2 linked regions of the Oreochromis niloticus genome follow. The protein of the gene in region 2 purifies or fractionates together with the protein of the main gene of each other region. This does not show direct contact. Links are inferred from orthologs where the notes say so. Each region holds a gene or a part of one and is shown on either strand. Other genes may lie near its edges.

Region 1 (6,058 bases), on a different chromosome or scaffold from region 2:
TTATACAGTACTGTACAAAGGTTTTGAGCCAGAAAAAACAAAAACACATGCAAACATATACAGAATTACAGCATATACAGCAAAAACAGTTTGTTAGGTCAGTGTTTGGTATGACCACATTTATTCTTTCAAGGATAGTTTGCCTGTCATTTCTTTAAGTAGTCTTCGAGAATAGTTCTCAAGGCTGCTTGACTTCTGCCATACTGAAGACAGTTTGAACCAAACATTTCAAAGTCATCACTAAATATGACCGGTTTGCCACTGATTTCCAGCCCAGTGCTTCTGTAACCTTCTGTAACCTGGATTCAGTGAAGAATAGATGCATCAATCAGGTCTCTCAAGGACATGATTTTCAGATAGTGCTCATTTGCTATTTTTTTTAAGCCTGACACACATCAGACCATGCAAAGATATGCCCAGTTTTCTGTTACTAACCATTTGGGAATCACTTTGTTTGAACTCATCTTGAAAAAAAAGAAAAAAGAAAAAATGAAAACAAGACCAGGTTTTAAGAAATAACAAAAAGAATTATTTTATTAATAAGTGAGCAGGGCTACTACAAACTCCTGATGAGAAACATCAGTCCCCAAAAAGCAAGAAACAAAACAAAAACAATTAAACATGATTTTTCCCCCTCATGTTTAATCAAACAAAGGACGGGACTATTTAAAACGGTTTTTTCCCCTCAAGGAGTTTTTGTCAGTGAAAGAAAAATCACACAAGCAGTCTCTCAATGGCCATTTGAACAGACTGGATCTGTGGCTTGAGCTGAGACCCCTCTTTTATAGTGACTGAGGTAGCGATAACGGGGCGCGACACCCCACAGGCCCGGCCCAAGGCCTGCTTGGAGCGGACAAACACGTAGGGGACATTCTTGTCCTCGCACAGCAGCGGCAGGTGGAGGATGATCTCCAGTGGTTCCGCATCGGCAGCCATCACGATAAACTCAGCGATGCCTCTGTTCAGGGTTTTAGTGGCTGGGGAAGAAAGAGAACACCTTAAATACAGCAAGTTTGTTCTTGGAAACACAAAAACAATGCTCAGCATATTACAGGTTACACAAAAAAGTGCCCTTCATTACTGCAGCACCGTTATTCTTGATGTGGCCCAAAACAAAAATACAAGTGTCTGTTTAACACATTTTTCACAAGCACTTAGTAATTCATATAATAAATACACTCGACATTGACTAATCATTAGCCTCCACAGGAAGACACAGCTATGGTGTAAGTTAACAATTATCTGTATAAACAATACTAAAAGTTATTTTCCTTCTCGCAGACATCCCATTCATGCAGAAATCAGAGGCTTGTGACTAAAGCTAGTTGTTTTAAGTGAAGAGAAACCACGTTTCAAACATGCTGGTGTCACCTGGCCACTCAAATCCGTTCATTAACAAATTAAATATTCATTTGCACCGACTGTGTCGCACGGCACGTTGTGTTTACCCACCTTCGTTGGCTCCCTTCCTCAGTTGCTTGTAGTTTGAGGCTTGCTGCACCAGATCCAGGATAGTTTTGGTCAGCGTGGCGTCGGCCAGCGGGTAGGCCTTTGGGTTCACTTGTGCTTCAGTCTGTTCACCACACAGAAACAAAGTAACTCCATGTTAGCCAAGAGAAACCAGTTAACGAAAAAAAAAAAGTCACCAGCACTGTTTCTGGTCACTTCTACTGAATTCTACACTTAATTTACTATGCTCGATGGTAGCTAGCTAGCTACTCTGTTAGCTTGTTCGTTTGAGAAGACACTCACCATGGTGTTTTTGTGCTATTCCGGCCCTCTCGGCGAAATGCTTCACGGAGGACTATTTTAATTCGACTGGCTTCTGAAAGATTGACGACACGATGCAAGATGCGATAACCTGTGATGTATTTTATAGCGGTACAACTCTCTAAGCTCCGTCGCATGCAACGACTCCAAACGTTTGCCACACGTGTGGTGTGAGGCGCATGCGCACTGGCAACGCTGGCGAAATCACAGGAAATGCTTTGGGAGAAAAAAATTGTTAATAAATGTGAAAATACAACGAAACAAGTCACTTTCATTTTTTTTACCAAATAAAAGACGACCTGGAAAGGGGTGACATTTTTTTTTATTGAAAAACAAATACGTTTTAAAATAAATACACGGAAATTATTTATTTTCCCTTCACCTGCTCCCTTCAGAGTTCAGCACATCTGCCCTGTGCCAAAATAGTTTAACCTGGCAGCATTCTTTTCTTTCACAGCAACCCTCCGCGTGTGCTTCTTCACTACATCCATGAACATCCTCTGTGGTTTTCATTTTATCCTCCTGCCTGGCAGCTCCATATTCAACATCCTTTTACATCATTTCAGCATCCCCTATCCCTCCTGTGCGCATGTGCAAACCATCTCTAAACACATTCCTTGTCATTTACATACCGATATTACATACACCTCTTTGTATTTATAATAATATTCATATCAGTGCATTTCATAACTTCGGTGCAAACCATCCAGCTGGCTCTGTCTGGTCCAATGAAAAAATATTTTATTTTATTTTATTTTATTTTATTTTATTTTATTTTATTTTATTTTATTTTATTTTATTATTTTCTCTCATCTCCAGGGCAGCAGAGGGCGCGCGGTCACTGGCTAGGCAGACGCACCGTTTACAAGCGAAGAAAGCGCTGAGGATTCTGGGTAGGGCACTTTGAAGCCAGCCATATTGCTTCATCGTCCTGACCCAAGGCAAGAGGGGCGATGAAGGGGATTCGGGGAATCAGTCAGCTATCGGTGAGGACTCGGGCAATGTGTCCTACGTGTCTGTGTGTCGGAACATTTGTACACCGAGTTGTGGGCTGTGTTTGTTAGACGGTGTCTAAATTCCGGGTCGTGTCCGGGCAGGCTGTGATGAGGAGCAGACGAGGAAGCAGTCAGCTAGGTCTTGTCATGAATGACTCCGAGCATAACCAGCAATAACCTGCTAGTTACATCACGAACACCGCGGATTTTAAGTCGTTGTACACCCAGCTTAATACTGTCTATTCCGTTAATTCAAGTAAGGCTTAGAGAAATCAAACTAGTTGACGTCTGAGCGATGAGAGCTAGCTAGGTTCGTGTTTATGAAGGACCTAGCCGTCGAGTTGCTTAACTTACATTTCCATTTTACTATCTAATTATATCTTCCCCTTTCTTATCTGCAATATTGTGCAATTATTGCAGTTTGGATTTAGCAGTAAACATCAATACTTATGTGTGTTTACTGAGTGAGAACCCTGGCAGCCTGAAATGGTAGATTGTAGCTAGTTTTAAAAAGATGTTCTTACTTTTTCACATTTGTCGTTAAAGGGTAGTAATGTTGTTTGGCATCATTCTGTTGGAAGACACCAAGACCCATATAGAGGTTGTTATTACACTTCAGAGTACATTACAATCTTACAAATCCTTGATACTTTCAAAGATAATTTGGAAAAATTGACCTGCAGATTTAAACCTGGTGATATGCTTAAACAAAATGCAGAACAGAGACTTAAGTGGGCCTTGTCATAAGATTATTTTTTCACCTGTATAATTCTAGCTTCATATTTAGTCACAACATTCAGTTCTTTTAGTACAGGCTGCCCTACTAATGCCATTGATCCCATTATTTTAAAGTTCGTGCTCATATCAGCCAACAGGCCAGCAAAACATTAGTTGTAATGTCCTGCCTTCCTGTGTTCTTTGTTTTTCTTTTCCCCAGACAAGGTTTTATGCAGCCCAGGCTGCCCGTAAGGTGGAGGTCACTGGGTTTCATCCACAGGATGTTCAGGTCAGTGGTTATTGACTTCTTTTTCTTCTCTGCAGAAACGCTTCTATGCGGCTGCCAGAAAAGACCAGTCCCTTGCTCAGCCCCTGGCTGGCCTCAGCCTCTCTCCCAGAGTTGGCCATTCCTACCAGGATGTCCACGTATGTCGGGCAGTGATGAGAATTGTAGTATATATTGGTTATGTTTTAAGCTTTATCTGTTTTTTTTCACCTTGCTGAATATAAAATATTAAGTAATCTAACTAAATGCCCACATTGTCTGAGCTGTATAAATAAAAGCCAAGGAAACCAGTTAACTGAATCACTGCCTATAACTCAGGGTACTAACAACGCTAAAGGACATCTCTATATGTCTCCAGGTGACCAGGCTGCCCAGCGGGCTGGTGATCGCTTCACTGGAGAACTATTCTCCAGCCTCCAAAATTGGAGTCTTCATCAAGGCTGGCTGTCGCTATGAAACCCCTGAAAACCAGGGCGTCACCCACCTCCTCCGGCTGGCCTCCGGTCTGGTATGTAACTTAAAAAAAAATAATAATAACATTTAACTTGAAGTAAGCATTGTCCTCATCAACCTTGGTCCTTTGGTGTTGTTGAAAGACAGAAATGAGTAAAGCTGCAGATGCACCAGAATACAAACCAAATCTTTATTCAGTTTTAGGCAAAAATCTTATTTTGATTAGAAATATAACAGTGTTTACATATTAAAAAGCCTGCACAACTGTTGTTAATAAATGGAGCTTAAGATCACTACTTTTGTAACGGTGTGTAACATTGCCGCATTTCAGTCGACATGTTACTTAACTTTTCTGCCTTTTCAGACAACCAAGGGAGCTTCAGCTTTCAAGATATGCCGTGGTATTGAGGCAGTGGGAGGCAGTCTAAGGTCAGTAACTTAGCCAAAAACAAATAAAAGGTTTTTCTTGTAAACAGTCATTTAATTATTTTTAGGTGTCTAATTTGCATATCTGTGTATTCCTGTGCAGCGTGACTTCATCCAGAGAGAATATGACCTACACCGTCGACTGCTTAAGAGATGACGTGTGAGTCTCTGCATGTCACCTTTGTGTGTGATGAGTGTGTTGATGATTGAGCAATAATAATAATAACGTAATGAAAATGTTTAAAGTACTAGGAGATACTTAAAGAACTTTGTCTCTTTCTGTTTACACACTTTTCCATATTTTGGTGAAATGACTACATTCACTGGAACATATGAATGCTCTGAGATGTGATGTTGCAGGAGTGATAACTTTCTTTTCCCCCCCTTCCTCTATTATTGGTCTCTAGTGACACAGTGATGGAGTATTTGATCAATGTGACAACAGCCCCCGAATTCCGTCCGTGGGAGGTGTCAGACCTCACCCCAAAAGTAAAGGTGGACAAGGCACAAGCTGCACAGAGCGCCCAGATAGGTGGGCCCTTTGTTTCTCTTACAACACTCAGTTTTTTTGAAAGATTTTTAAGGGATCTGTTGTTTTATTATAGAACTACTTAATTCATATTCCCACCTTTGAGCCTGATTAATATTTTAAAAAGCTTCTGGGTTGTTCGATTAATCAATAATTAGCCTGTAGAGCCTAGATACCAAACTGTCATATAGGGACAGTAATGTTCTCTCTGTTTTTTCTTCACCATGAGTGCGTTGCAGCTAACAGTCACCCATCCATCTTTTTTAGGTGTGGTTGAAGGTCTGCATGAAGCTGCCTACAAGAACGCCCTGTGTAACTCCTTGTACTGCCCAGACCACATGATCAACAACATCCACTCTGAGCATGTGAGTATATATTTCTGTTTGTATATTATGAGTACAAAACATACAAACTAAAACAATTATGAATTATTGCAATGTTTGCATTTTTCTCCAGCTGCACCAGTTTGTCCAGAACAATTTCACCAGTGCAAGAATGGCCCTTGTTGGACTTGGTAAGTGTTAGGGTTTAAAGTATTTTCCATATAAAGAAAGAAGTAGCCAGATTTCTGATAAACGATAACAATGCTTACCTTTCTACTAGGCGTTGACCACACTGTGCTGAAGCAAGTGGGAGAGCAGTTCCTCAACATCCGCAGTGGAGCCGGCACCACGGGGGCTAAGGCACAGTATCGTGGAGGTGAGGCGAGCTGGCTGAGAGGGGGAAGGAAAAGAAAAAATAAAGGATTTAAGCAAATTTTGAATGAATGATTCCAACCTGAGAAATTGATCGACCTTGCAGACTTCCCTGTCTCATGACCTCGTGCCTCTTTCCAGGTGAGATTCGCCTGCCCAGCACCAGCAGTCTGGTCCATTCAGCCGT
Region 2 (7,142 bases):
ACACTAACACTAACACTACTAGTCAACACTAACACACTTTCCAGCCGTGGTGCGAATTTACTGCAAGTCAAACACTAGGTATATTTTCTGTCGTGGTAGTGTGAATGTACTTTACCGCACATTTCAGTTCACTCCCTTTATTGATAGTCAAACACTGAAAAGATAAAGATTCAGAATTCATCACTACACATCACGTGATTTATTTTACAAGACAGTCTGTCTTTACATAATAAACTCATATCAAAAAAATAAAAAATAAAAAAAATAAGACCGACTATTTTGGGTCTTTCACACTTGAACACTGGGGCTCTCCCATATTTCATCATCATACATATTTGAGATACATGTGATCCCATCCATCGAGGACAAATCAGGATGGTTTACATCGCTGGCAGTTGTCTCCTCAGTATTTGGGATGAAATCACCTGTACAATCACCAACACTTCCTAAAGACTCCACAGTAGGTTCATTAGGTCCTCGTGTAGACCCTTGGTGATTCAGTATACAAGGAGCTTGCTTAACTGCAGAAACTTCACCAGTAACTAAAACCTCCGTACTGCCAACATCCAGGACTGCTGAATGTCCCTCACTACTAATCGAGGCGGCAAACAGGGACGCAGCTTGGATTTTCTGTGAAGACTCTTCCCATCTTCCTTCATGCTCTCCATTTGTAACAGATGTTGTGCCCTTGTTTCCAGTTTTCTCCTGGTTGTGACATCTGCTCTCCAGCCCAAAGAAGTGGTTTCTGACAATGTAGCGTACACACTGCAGGAGGACATTCCTCTCGTGTCGGATATCTGGGGCCAGTAACTAAACAAAGAGACAAACAAGAGTTGGACTAAACATCTAAATAGTATAGCTTTAAACAGCGTGTCCTTTTTTACTAAATCAAAATCATATAAATACACATGCATAGTGTCAAATGACTTCCATACCATTTCAAGCAAAGTGGGGCGATGTAACTGTGGTAGTCTTCCTCTTCCCGCTCTTCCTCCTTTGCTGTTGGGCATGTGAAGCCTGGAATCTGTCTGAACCATTTTCTGTCTCTCTGCATTCTGTAAAAAAGCCTCTCTACCCCTGGCAGGTGCCCTCTTCTGAGGGTTGGGTGGTATTAAGTTTAGAAGGTCCTGGTTCTCTTGCACCAGCTCCTTACCTGTCTGAATGGGTGTGGCTAAAACGCAAAGGCAGGTGTTAGTCAGTCTCTCTCTCTCTCTCTCTCTCTCTCTCTCTCTCTCTCTCTCGTAAATTAACAACAAAATAAAAACAATTCAACAAGACAGAATCATTAGGATTTTTCTTGCATGGTGAAGATTTTGGACTTTTATCCAGCAAACACTATGTGCTCACCTGGTTCCTCATCACTTTCACTCATGGATCCGTAGTTTGCTACTAGGGAGCCCAGAGCTGAGCTCATCTTCTTAGGGGCCACAACCAAGCCACTGGTCCTGGACTCCTCTCTGTCAGAATCTTTGAGCCAATGAAAAACAGAGCACAATATATCACTATCACTATATAGGGGTGTCTGTGTATTTCAATCAAAGAATAACCAGAGGATAACCAGTGAAAGCTTTTTGATCTTGTCCTCTATGTAGGTGATTGTGCACAGCCTTGATTGAACTTTAATCAATTAACTCACCATGGTCACTAGTGGCTAGTGCTCCGAGTGGATCCCCGTCCCTGCATGGGTGGGTGAGTGGTTTAGGCTTCTCTGTAACACTGCAGTCCGATGAGTGTGGCCGTCTCAGATGTCGCCCTTGGAATCCTCTGTTTTTCCAACCACGACCTCTGCCTCTTCCTCTCATTCGTCTGAAAATAAATACATCATTGCTTATGCAAGTTAACTTTTTGGTAGGACAGACTTCATTTCAAATTTTAAAAAAAAAATGTATATCAAAATAGAAAATAAAAGACATGCACACCAAAATCCATAATTTATACATTCAAATGTAAACATTTACCCAAACTGAGCTGTTTCCAGGACAGCTCCCGTTTCCTCCCGCACCTCCAGGACTTTTTTCTTCTTCTCAATATTCACAAGTGTTGGATAGTTTCTAGTAAACCAGTAAAGACAAATTACTGACTGGACATGGGCAGTATGCACAGGTGGATCAACTAATGGCAAAATTGCATCAAAAGTTCATGACTGCCACAGTTTCTAAAATCTCTTTGCAAACACTAACTTGCGCCTTTCCTCTCTCCATTTAGTAATCTCCTCCGGTGTGTCCAGTTTGATTCGTTTAGTTCCTGGCACATGGTTCTGTCAACACAGAGCACTCACATTAGAAAAAGGAAACTACTACAAGCTTAATCTCTTTACATCATCTTCTTCCACTTACATTTTTCCAGTGTATGCTGACAAGTTTTTCATGGGCCATGAAGCTGCAGTCAGCCACAGAACACTAAAAGTGGATTCAATTGGAGCTCTCAGTAAAAAGTAAAGAATATCAATGTGAACAACACTAATATATATCTAGTAAGTAGCCTAGAGTGAAATACCTTGACATGCTGAGAGACATGCTCATTGTACTTTTCCTGGTTTTTGAAGCCCCGGTCGCAGGTGTCACAAAAATGGGAATACTCTGGTTCTTTCCTGTTTTTCTGCAAGGGGTGAAAAGCTCAAAGTTCCCAACAACGTTCCATTCACTTTCAATATAAATACAAAGTTCTCAGACTCGTCACCTTTTTTCCATGATGGCTGGGAGCTCGGTAGCTTTGATGTCCACCTCGATGCCATTCATGACTAAAGTTTTGACCTGAAAACACGCAAAAAATTCAAGCACACCTTTCTTTAAAAAAAAAAAAGACACATGGACATGTCCTTTATGGCGACTAAAGGCGCACTGCATGTATCTTAAACTACACAGCTGCTATCAAAGTTATTGTGGGGATGTGATTTTGTTTTTAGTTTATCTTTCCGGGTTTTCCACGGATGTATTCGTTGTGTCACTAGTTGGCTTTTATGAAACTAATTCAAGTGTTTTAACACGAAACAACCCACTGACGTCACTTGCTGCATTCACACAAGATGGCGCTCCACATGCTATAAAGCTTTAAATACTTATTCCTTAACTGCAGCATAATAGTGTTAAATCTATGACTTTTTTGTTAGAGCAGAACCCCATGGTGTAAGTCAGTCTTTACATTATGTGGTCCTTCATGTCCACTTTAGGGCGACAGTAACATGAAGGAACCCATCTTCAACAGAGAAACGACTGTACATTCCACTCACCGTATGTATGTGTAGGTCCGTGGTTTCCACGGTTTGATGAGAACCCATAACTTGCCGCTGACCCGTGGTGCCTACCAACACTACTGTCGCAGCCCCAGCTGTGTTCGATAGGCGTTTCGCTCCAGCTCCACATGGTGGGATGGAAGCTACTCGAGTGCGACTGCTGCTGCTGGAACGACTGGAAGGAATTCGAAGGAGGAAAGCCAAAGTCGGGCGGAGGGTAGTTTGCCGACTCGTTCATACCGCCAGGCCAAAATCTTTCTTCACGCTGACGATGAAGATAGTTCTAAGAAAACTTCTCCCCAACGCGTTGCCCTCATAAGCGCATGTATTTACCTTGAGCAAACTATGGATTCGTCACTTCCGGAGAGAAGGAAGACCATAAACCAACACAGACGAAAACGAATAAATATACGTCTATACATACTTACGTTAAGTATTTTAATATGTATAAAAAGTTTTGTGGTAAAAAAAAAAAATATATATATATGTACTTGAGACTTAACTGCAATTTTGATTTTACCAGTAGTTGGCTAGAACTTCTCGCGAGGTTTAAATTAACAAATTCTCTTGGGTTGCCATTTTTGGTAAAAAGCCTCCTGGTAAATATTAGAAATGCACTGCATCGTCTAACTACCAACACAAGTCTGTAAGCGTCATAAGCCAAGTGGCCGCTCGCTCGGTTTTATTAACCCGAATGCTATGTGCCGTTTGCGTAATTAAACATATTTCAAAGTGTATTTTTTTCCACAATAGAAGCAGAAACATATTATAAGGTAAAGAAAACGTAAAAATACATTGGACAATACGGTGCATTAGATACACCGAGATCCACCCATCCGTAGAAACCTTTTCTTCCGCTTATTTATAAATAAACCCTAAATTGTCTTTTTAATGTTAAGCTCGGGGGATAGCGACCGACGTGAGCGAACCTGGCAACCCAGTAGTTTCCTGGTGCCCTGTCCACGCCGCGTGTGTTTCAGAGTGAGGGCAGCAGCGTGGTGATCGAGGTGGAAACGCGAAGGCTCCAGAGGTGTGCACAATAACTGCACTAAGGCGCTGCCAAAATGCTCGTGTTGTTTGAAACCGCAGCTGGATATGCAATATTCAAAGTAAGTATTCGACTATTGTTCGCGATCTTTTTAAAATGGGGGACTTTAACACGGGCTCTTTGCGTTAGCCCGGATTAGCCATCCAGCTAGTTCATTGAGTGTCGGTAGAAGGTGGCATAAACGTGTTATTTACGGTATGAAAAAAGCAATCTCTTCGTTGTACTTGCGGATATGGATTAAACTTTTATTTAAAGTTGTTTTGTTTGCGCACGAGCTTGCCTAAGTCATAAGCGAACATCAAGCTTGTACTGTGAAGGGCCTGCAACCACGTGTGCACACTGAGGTGGTGCTGACTCTACTTTTCAACTAAGTCCCATGCATTTTAGAATTGTAGATTGTTCAAATGCGTTTATCATCCATTAATTTTTTAAAGTTACATTTTTAACGATGTAAGCCAGCCCACTGCTTGACAGATTTCTTTTAACTAATGTCTGTGTATTGTGTTTTAAGGTCCTCAATGAATCCAAACTGCAGCAGGTCGACTGCCTGTATAAGGAGTTTGAAACTCCCGAAAAAGCCAATAAAATGTAAGTGCTGATGTTACATTTTACCACCTGACGACACATATAACCATGGACTTATTACGATAAATCGTAGATGGAATGTAACTTCCACGTTTTTCCTTTTGTCCTACCAGCGTTAAGCTGAAGCATTTTGAGAAGTTCCAGGACACAACAGAGGCCTTAGCAGGTAATGATAAATTTGAGCCCTAATGTTTACCTGAGATTTGTCTGTGATGCAAAGCTGTGTCTGATTAAACATGAGGTATTGCACAGTCCTCGTCACTACCACTGAGACCAATTCCTCCTCACACATATGAGAATTGACACTTTTTGTGTTTTGTGTAAGCGCTTAGCACAGCTAAGCTTTATTTTATTCTCTATTTCCACTTTTCAGCTGCGACTGCCCTTGTTGAGGGAAAACTTGGCAAGAGTCTGAAGAAGGTCCTGAAGAAAGTTGTTGCCAAGGAAGCTCATGAGCAGCTGGCTATTAGTGATGCAAAACTTGGTGGCGTTATCAAAGTAAGTCACTGATATTTCTGTCAGCCTGAAAGACAGCATTGTTATCGAACGTTGTGTTTCTAATGACTTCTGGTCTTCAGGAAAAACTGGACCTGAGCTGTGTCCACAGCCCTGCTGTGGCTGAACTGATGAGATGCATCAGGGGTCAGATGGAGAGCCTCATCACTGGACTTCCTCCCAGGGAGATGAGTGCTATGTCTTTAGGGTTGGCTCACAGGTTAGTGGTGCACAGATTATGTTATATGAATGCAGCTGCTGCCTATGATTACATTTGCTGTCTGAAATATTTGTGTAGATTTTTCTCAGCATTCGTCACTACCACTGAGGCAGCAACCCTCTGGCTTATTGAAAATCCCTTCATTAATCTAGAAATTTGAATTAACTCATGTTCTCATCTGGTTGCAGTTTATCCCGCTACAAGCTGAAGTTCAGTCCTGACAAGGTGGACACAATGATCGTGCAGGCTATTTGTGAGTGTTGTTTTACACAGTTATGTCTGTTGTTGTGCCTGTAACATGTCAGACAAGAAAACTCTTAGAACAATCAGCAGTCTAAATTATTTTCAGAATGTCCAAAAACCTTCAGTCTGTTATCATTGCAAACAAAGAAAACATCTAAATTTTTCTGTTTAGGATTATAAAAATTAATAAATTATAAATTATTGATATTTTTGCTCTAAAAATGATCATTTAAGCAGTTAACATCAGCTGTACTGTGTTTTCGTCCTTGCCTCTAGCTCTTCTGGATGACCTGGACAAAGAACTTAATAATTACATAATGCGTTGCAGAGAGTGGTATGGCTGGCATTTCCCTGAGCTCGGAAAAGTGATCACAGACAACTTAGCCTACTGCAAGAGTGTCCGCAAAATAGGTAAGGACCATCCTGCATTTGCACAACACAGTCAGAGAAGCAGAGGTCTAGATATCCTAAATAGTGTGAGTAAAGCCAGCAAAAACACAGCAATCCTACAATTTCCACATTCAAATTCATTAGCACTCTTTAATTTTAATCAAAGCCTCTTTCAGTCTTTAAGAATTTATGGTTTCCTGTCAGGCTGAGTAAACCAGAGTGCTCTGAGCTTGTTTAAAGTCAGCGTTTTGTTACTCTAAGACTCACCTACATTGGTTTAACTTCCATGTGGTGACATTCCAGAGTAACTGCCATATGTTTGTGTCTACAGGTGATCGCACAAATGTCGCTGGCTCTGATCTATCAGATATCCTCCCCGAGGAGATCGAGGTCGAGGTTAAATTGGCTGCTGAAATCTCCATGGGAACAGAAGTGTCAGAGGAGGACATTGGCAACATCAGGCACCTATGTGATCAGGTGTGTGTCCTCACTGTTTGCTACAGTGATTGTGATGGCGATCACTGTTGTCTGTTGCAAAAACAGGGTTTTCTATGCGTCTTTGCCTTTCGTGACTGGTACCCTGCATTCGTGAATTTGTTTTTGAATGTTCTCTTTATATATTTTTTTTCTCCCATAGGTGGTAGAGATTTCAGAATACCGGGCTCAGCTCTACGACTACCTGAAGAACAGAATGATGGCAATCGCTCCCAACCTCACTGTAATGGTGGGGGAGCTGGTTGGCGCCCGTCTCATCTCACATGCAGGTGAGTTTGGGTGGGGGAGGGCAAAAGTCAGGTAATTTGTGAAAACTGGCCTAGCAGTGATGATGATGACACTAAGTCACTTTCCTGAACATGACTGATGGTTTTAAGTCACTACCTCATCTGAGCTGGCAGTGAAAGCACTAGTAGTCAGGTCCTTGAAGAGCA

The links.
Region 1: the proteins of nop58 (region 2) and NHP2-like protein 1 fractionate together in Homo sapiens (co-fractionation; 3 studies listed by BioGRID and IntAct, with this or other methods). This does not show direct contact. The link is inferred for Oreochromis niloticus from reciprocal best matches to the Homo sapiens genes NOP58 and SNU13.

The regions. Positions count from the first base shown.
Region 1 is NC_031973.2:20,520,585-20,526,642, reverse strand, and holds NHP2-like protein 1, read right to left. Parts: upstream 1,984-6,058; 5' UTR 1,756-1,983; coding exon 1,753-1,755; intron 1,574-1,752; coding exon 1,453-1,573; intron 978-1,452; coding exon 715-977; 3' UTR 507-714; downstream 1-506. Other genes in the region: uqcrc2b (cytochrome b-c1 complex subunit 2, mitochondrial), read left to right, coding at 2,724-2,756, 3,807-3,908, 4,127-4,276, 4,586-4,650, 4,751-4,807, 5,055-5,179, 5,444-5,541, 5,633-5,690 and 2 more.
Region 2 is NC_031986.2:729,533-736,674, forward strand, and holds the start of nop58 (nucleolar protein 58), read left to right. Parts: upstream 1-4,133; 5' UTR 4,134-4,296; coding exon 4,297-4,341; intron 4,342-4,791; coding exon 4,792-4,868; intron 4,869-4,978; coding exon 4,979-5,031; intron 5,032-5,238; coding exon 5,239-5,363; intron 5,364-5,443; coding exon 5,444-5,580; intron 5,581-5,768; coding exon 5,769-5,833; intron 5,834-6,099; coding exon 6,100-6,234; intron 6,235-6,544; coding exon 6,545-6,690; intron 6,691-6,850; coding exon 6,851-6,977; intron 6,978-7,024; exon of another isoform or gene 7,025-7,108; intron 7,109-7,142. Other genes in the region: FMR1-interacting protein NUFIP1, read right to left, coding at 289-810, 936-1,171, 1,348-1,467, 1,637-1,806, 1,959-2,051, 2,181-2,257, 2,337-2,399, 2,497-2,598 and 2 more. UniProt on the Homo sapiens protein: Required for the biogenesis of box C/D snoRNAs such as U3, U8 and U14 snoRNAs. Part of the small subunit (SSU) processome, first precursor of the small eukaryotic ribosomal subunit.